Linked DNA regions of Rattus norvegicus. The protein of the gene in region 2 interacts with the protein of the main gene of each other region in a pairwise test. Links are inferred from orthologs where the notes say so. Each region holds a gene or a part of one and is shown on either strand. Other genes may lie near its edges.

Region 1 (3,649 bases), on a different chromosome or scaffold from region 2:
CTCAACCTGTGGGTTGTAACCCTTTGGAGGTCAAGTGACCCTTTCACAAGGGTCACATATCAGACATCCTGCATATCAGATATTATGATATTAGTTATGATATATCATATCAGATATTAGTTATGAAATAGCAATGAAATAATCCTATGGTTGGGGGTCACCACAACTTGAGGAACTGCATTAAAGGGTTACAGGATTAGGAAGGTTGCGAACCACTGCTCCAGCCTCCTGTGAACCTGTTCATGGTAGAGTTCTTGCCACTCACTCCTGCTTGTTGCTTCCTCTCCGTCATCTCCTGGAGGCCACCTGTCCCCTGGATGCTCTTTCCCAAAAGCCTGGAGCTCATACGATGTCCCACCTAGGTGATGCTGGCTCTGGCTAGCCACCTGAGCACAGTGGAGTCTGAGAAGCAGAAGCTGCGGGCCCAAGTACGGCGGCTCTGCCAGGAGAATCAGTGGCTCCGGGACGAGCTGGCGGGCACTCAGCAGCGGCTGCAGCGCAGCGAGCAGGCTGTAGCACAGCTGGAGGAAGAGAAGAAGCACCTGGAGTTCTTAAGGCAGCTGCGCCAGTATGACGAGGATGGGCACAGCATGGTGAGTGTGTGAGCCAGCGTTTGCTGGGACTGAAGGCAGGGCAAGCGTCCCACTGTCCCGCAGTGAATGTCAATGCCTTTCGCGTTTCCACTTGAAAGGACTTTATTTTCAGCCTTGGTACCAGCTCCAGATAACAGGGGTCAGGGGACGATCTTGACTTGTTCCGTCGACTTAAGTCTCATGTGTACGCCCCTGGAGAGTGGGCCGACAGTTCTTGTTCTCACAGCTAACATTATGTGGAACAAGACGGACAGTCAGACAGCTCGAACCCAGAATCCTAAGGCCTACAGTTAGGGAGAGCACAGCCCACTTTAGCAAGAGACTCCCCTACAGTCTTCTCTCAAGCTCCATGAAATTCAGCCCTGGAGCTGGCGTTTATGTATCCCTGTGCCCTATGAGTGCAGAGAGAAGGAGACTAGGAAAAGTCCCTGTCTTCTCAGGCCTGTAATGTCTGCAGAACTGGGCTCACACAGGAGGCTCGGATGTGACTGAACGAAGCAGCAAGCACACAGTGTGGACATGGCTCAGCCAGAGTACAGGGACTGCCACGTGGATAGGTCCCTGAGGGCTGGCATGGTCAGAAGCCTTCAGAGAGGAGGTCAGGTACAGAAAAGACTGCAGGGCTGGAGTGCTATTCTGCCCATAGACGGTGAAGAGATAATTTGCCTGGGACACATGGGCGAGCCTGAAGAAGAAAAGTACATTTTCCCTAAGCCCACACTGACCAAAGGGAATAGTCAGCCCAAGGCAGAGCTAGACACTTGGGGTACGTGTCAGTGAGCACAGACATACTCCTTCCCCTCAGGAGAGACAGGATAGACATATAATCAGTGTAAGTGCACAGGGACCGCCATGGCTATAATTACGAGAGGTATCTGAGAGAGGGAGAATAGGGTGTTAGAGAGAGACCTTTATGGATGAGAAATAGAGTTGTGCGATTTTGTCTGGGACATCCCTGGCTTTCACATCCAGGAGGCCTGTGCATGACTGGGTCAGCTGCTGGTCTTTTCCAGGGGCAGAAGCCTTCAGGCCCATTGCTTGGTGCTTTTGTGGCTTAGAAGAAGCCCGATGAGGCCACTGGGGTCTGGCATGCTGTCCCTTTCCTTTCAGGAGGAGAAGGAGGGAGATGCTAGCAAAGATTCCCTGGATGACCTCTTCCCCAATGAGGAGGAGGAGGACTCCAGCAACGACTGTGAGTCTGCCTGTGGGGCTGCAGGGTGAGGGCAGCAGGAAGCTGCTTCAAGCTATGGCCCAGTCTGAGTAGGATCTCCACATCCAGAGATAAGTTCCCCACTTCCTTTGGAGACTGGGTTCCTTCCCTCCCCGGTACCCGTCAGCATTTACTGAGTGTGCTGTGCACTAGGGTTATCAAGATGAAAAGGATGCTGGTCCCACTAGTGAGTTCACAGTCTAGCAGAAAATAACCCCGGGCTGGAGCCGCAGGCATTCCTCAAGCCTTTTGTATTTGTGCTTTGCTGGACACCCCAGCAAATGTTAGTTGAGTGATTTACTAAGAGAATAGATAGGATTGTGGGGGGCATTGGTGCAAGGGTGTGGTTAAGGGAATAGCTGTGGGGCGGAGTCTCCTTTGAGAACCTGGCAAGGAGCAGCCAAGAGAAAGGGTGGGCAGAGGGGAGGGCAGGCAGCAAGGGAAAAGGAGGAGTCCTCTGAGGAAATGCCCTGTCTTTTTTGGGATGAGTTAGTGTCCCGTGGTCAGGGTGCTGCAGCGGCCCAGCAGGGTGGATATGAGATCCCAGCAAGGTTGCGGACCCTGCACAACCTGGTCATCCAGTATGCAGCTCAGGGTCGCTATGAGGTGGCTGTGCCACTCTGCAAGCAAGCGCTAGAGGACCTGGAGCGCACATCTGGCCGAGGTCACCCTGACGTGGCTACTATGCTCAATATCCTGGCTTTGGTGTATCGGTGAGTGCCACTGTCCTCTGTTGTCTATAGCAGCTCACATCCTACCTTCCTCTCCTCTCTGCTGGGCCTCCCAGGTATACCTTGCAAGGGTTTGTCCTCCACACTGGAACCCTCACTTTCTCTGATCCTGAAGCCCCCACCTCAGAGAATACTTATCTCTCAGGCTCTCTGGAGAGGGTGTGTGTGTCTTATTCTGTTTGTGGCTTCCTCTTGAGATGGCGGTGTCTGCAGCCTGGTGTGTTGGGCCTTTCGTCCTGTCCTAACAAGCTTCCTGACATCAGGGGTCCCCAGTCTCTCAGTGTGCCTCTGTTCTCTCGGTCTCTGGAAGGAAGTGAGGAAGGAGAAGGTATGGGGACAGAGTTCATGCTGATGCCCATCCTTTCCGCTGCTTTTCAGGGACCAGAATAAATACAAGGAGGCTGCTCATCTGCTGAACGATGCCCTCAGCATCCGGGAGAGCACCCTGGGCCGGGACCACCCAGCCGTCAGTATCCCACCCACTCCCTCCCCTCTGTCTCTGCTGTCTTGGCCTCTCAGTCCTCGTGTGCTGCTCTCACCACTCACCACATGCTTAGGAAGGAGGCTTAAGAACTTTCAGGCTCTGTCTAGTGAACTCAGTGGTTCTCAGTTCTCTGAGGCCCAGGGACTCCTTTTTATGTTGCTTGCATTTTATATTAATGTTTAGTTTTTTTTTTTTTTTTTGTTCTTTTTTTCGGAGCTGGGGACCGAACCCAGGGCCTTGTGCTTCCTAGGCAAGCGCTCTACCACTGAGCTAAATCCCCAACCCCTTTTTTTTTTCTTTTCTTTTTTCTTTTTTTCAGAGCTGGGGACCGAACCCAGGGCCTTGCGCTTCCTAGGCAAGCGCTCTACCACTGAGCTAAATCCCCAACCCCTTTTTTTTTTCTTTTCTTTTTTCTTTTTTTCAGAGCTGGGGACCGAACCCAGGGCCTTGCGCTTCCTAGGCAAGCGCTCTACCACTGAGCTAAATCTCCAACCCCCAAAATGACAGGTTTAATTGAGACATTTTCTTTCAAAAAGTCCTTTTCCCTCTATTTCTTTTTATGCGTCTGGGTAGTTTACTGGCATGTATATCTGTGTAGCACGTATGTGTACAGCACCTATAGAGGCCAGAG
Region 2 (3,649 bases):
TTTCCGCCGTGCGGATAAAAACGGTGAGTTTCCTTCTAGGTGCTTCGTTGCCCGCACTCTCCCTGTCCTGGTGCTTCATGGGAAACAGCTAGGGGTGGGAACATGGACGACTATGGACCTGAGGGTGAAGAGTGCAAGAAATCCAGAGGCTAAGTGCTGTCACTGCTCTGTGCCTCGGTTTCCCCTTCTGTAAGCTGACGTGGTAACAGCTGTCCTGTGTTGCCCTGAGCTTTGGGGTGAGGTAAAGAGATGTACGTGGGTGACCTACAACACTGCAGAAGAGAACCCTTGCCTGTCACCTGCCCTGAGGCCCTTCCCAAGTGGGTTTTAATTCAAGGTGGCTCCGGCCTTGTCCACCTCCTCTGCCCTTCCTAGGAGCTGTTGTTAACTGTCCCACGTGGTTGTGGGTTGGGATGGAGCTCTTTGGGATCTGGAAGGACAGGGGGACAGGCTTGGGCTAGGATCATTATAGAGGAGTGTTGCCCTCTTGGGCCTGTCCCAGGGATGGTATGCATCTTCCCAGGCCTTGGGGACCACCTGCAGATTCCACACACAACACAGGGATGTAGGGTACCAAAGGTGTGGTAGCACTGTGCAGAGCCTATACTACCCAGGGAAAGAGGCCTGGCCCCTGCCCCCCACACAGGTCACAGGAGTGTCAGCTTGGAGCCTTAGACTGCACCCTCCTGACCCCCACCACTCCCACAGGTTGGGTGATTGAACTTGTCTTCTCCGTTGAGGCCATTGTGCCCAAAGCACAGGAGGGCCTCTGTGCCAATGCATACATCTGCCAATGTATGCAAGATGCCTTCCATTATGAGAACAAGGCTGAGTGTCTCTGGGAGGCTCTCATGATTGACTAGCTTGGATGTGGTAGACACGGGGTAGCTAATCCCCAAGGGAAGGCTAGTGTGAGAGGCCTGGGTATCACCCTCAAAGACTGGCATTGTTGTTCAGCAGAAGGGTGAGGACCAGCCAGCCCTTCCATCCAAGGATGTGAGGCTCACAGGTTCCTGCTATTTGAAAGGTCATTGCTGCAGGCTGGGCTCCTGCTCATTAGTAGCACCACCTGCAAACAGCCCCACTTGGGTCATTGGCAGAGGTGATGAAACTGCAGGACAACTTGTCTTCTCTAATTGGACCAGAGGCCAAGTGGAGGATATTTTCCTCTTAATAGCTCATCTGTGCTCATTAGGCCTGTGACTAGCACCCAAGGTAAATGTCAGAGGATCTGCAGGCCCTGTCTTCCAGCTTCCTGTTCTCTCTGGGTACAGAGGACACTGAGGTACCATCCATGATAAGCAGGTGGAAACAGTCAAGAGGGAAGCCTGGCCTGGTGTTAGCACACCCCATGCTGTGCCCGGGACAGACATGACTAATCAATTACAGCACACATTCATTGAATCTAGCATTGGCTTCAGCTTTTCCATGCAGCCCAGCTACGCCATGAAATATGGAGCCACTGACTACCCCTCACCCAAAAGGTGGGGGACTGTGCTGTTACCTACCATGTGGCACAAAGTCCTGCTCTAGGGTAGGTTGAAGGTCTGAGCTCAGCCTGCTGTTGCCTTGAGGAAGGACGGAATAGAAGGACTATCTTCAGACTGCTTCAGAGCTGGGACCTGGGGCTTGGATTGAGCATGATCCCTGATAGGCTAGTGGTATCAGGTTAAGCATGTTGCTTAAATAATGTCTATGTAAGGGGGCTGGGGATTTAGCTCAGTGGTAGAGCGCTTACCTAGGAAGCGCAAGGCCCTGGGTTCGGTCCCCAGCTCCGAAAAAAAGAACCAAAAAAAAAAAAAATAATGTCTATGTCAGATGACTGAGGGGAGAGCAGAAGGGGTGATTGCCTGATAGAGCATGAAGGTATCTGCTCCCCAGAAACCAGTTGTCTCCGATGGTTTGGGATTACCTGTCAGTAGGCCTCAGGCTGACAACAGGGAGTTTGTCAGCTGAGGACAGGCTGTAGGCTACCATGCGCTCTCTTCTCTGAGACAAGCAGTCACTTGTTTCCTTGCCTGTCCATTGCAGACGACGGGAAACTGTCCCTTGAGGAATTTCAACTGTTCTTCGCGGATGGCGTCCTCAATGAGAAGGAGCTGGAGGGCCTCTTCCACACCATTGATTCAGACAACACCAAGTGAGCCTGGGCTACTGTGGGGCACCCTGGGATGTGTGGGCTCCTCCCTTCTTCACAGTGCCAAGGTCCTGTTTAAGGGCAAGAGGCCTAGAACTCCCCTGACTCAATAATTCAAAAGTCAGACTTACTTGATCCTCGCTGCCAAGCTGCCTGAGCCCCGTGTGTGTGTGTGTGTGTGTGTGTGTGTGTCCCACAAAGTTTGTCTTTTCTGAGCGACCTTGGCCAAACGGGGAGAGACCCTGGGCCTGCTGCAGTATACGCAGGACTGATGGGAAGTTGGCTGTGGCCCTGCCTGCTATCTCTCCATTCAGTTCTAATCCCAGCGTGACCTCAGACACCGCTTTCCCTGTGAACCACCATCCCAAACCACCCTACAGTGTCTATGAATCCCAACTCTAGCCTGAACTCCACTTCTGTCTTTTTTTTTTTTTTTCTGGAGCTGGGGACTGAACCCAGGGCCTTGAGCTTGCTAGACAAGCGCTCTGCCACTGAGCTAAATCCCCAACCCCTGTGAATTCCACTTCTGACCTTGGAACAAAATGAACTTGTTTCTGTAACCCACTAAGAACTTGGACCTGTGACTCAGCCTCCCAGGACACCTGGCGTCCAGAGCCAGCATAAGTGTGCAGTGTCCTTCACTCATCTTTGTCTGATGCCCCTGAATTCTGCCTGGGTGGGCAACAGCCACCTGGTCACCTTCCTCTGCCCCACTGAGGTGCTGAGGACTAAAGTTTCTAGGGGTGCTAGGGCAGGTGGGATCACTTGGGGGGCCCAGAGCCTAGCGGTGATGTAGGTACATGGTTACTACCGGGCCACTTTGCAGTTTGCTTGTAAAGTGGTAGCCAGGAACTGAGGCTGGAGACCTGACAGGGTGTAATTTTCTGAGGATGTCTTTTGGTTCTCATAGTAGAGCAGGGCTCTCTGTGTCCAGGCCATCTGAGGTCTTAGCTTCTCTGCAGCCTCTTGGGCACACATTCTTGGGATGCAGAGGCAAGCGGACCTCTGAGTTCAAGGCCAGCCTGAGTGAGTTCCAGGACAGCCAGGGCTACACAGAGAAACCCTGTCTCAAAAAACAAACAAACAAACAAACAAACAAAAAGATCCAAAGAGGTTGCCCTGAAGGATGGGGTGGGGTTGGGGGATCTATCCCTATAGGGAAGGTCACAATTCTGAAGACATTCTGGATTCTTGACTCCAGTATTCCCTGAAGTAGACATAAGAAGCAACATTTCCGGTTGTCTGAGGCACTCCAAGGCAGTCGCCGGCCTTGGAATCTACAGACAACCTTTTCTCAGATGGGCATGGCATCTACCAAAAGCAGTCCTGAGCCAGGGTAGAGGCTAGGCCCAGAGAGGAGGCATCAGACCCCACACAGACCCTGCTGGTCCCTCTGCTGCAGCTTCTGGTGCTGATGCCTTCACGCACCTCCCCAGATCTGAGCAAGGACCAGCTCCTTCCCTGCTTTAGTCTAACAAGTGAAGTTCAGGGCTAGAATAGAGGCTGACCCAG

What was found.
Region 1: the proteins of Necab2 (region 2) and Klc4 interact in binary tests that used the Homo sapiens proteins (3 or more experiments, as listed by UniProt). The two-hybrid records come from large-scale screens. The link is inferred for Rattus norvegicus from reciprocal best matches to the Homo sapiens genes NECAB2 and KLC4.

What each region holds. Positions count from the first base shown.
Region 1 is NC_086027.1:21,838,034-21,841,682, forward strand, and holds part of Klc4 (kinesin light chain 4), read left to right. Parts: intron 1-362; coding exon 363-593; intron 594-1,703; coding exon 1,704-1,785; intron 1,786-2,296; coding exon 2,297-2,516; intron 2,517-2,912; coding exon 2,913-3,000; intron 3,001-3,649.
Region 2 is NC_086037.1:64,412,937-64,416,585, forward strand, and holds part of Necab2 (N-terminal EF-hand calcium-binding protein 2), read left to right. Parts: coding exon 1-23; intron 24-2,031; coding exon 2,032-2,140; intron 2,141-3,649. UniProt on the Homo sapiens protein: May act as a signaling scaffold protein that senses intracellular calcium.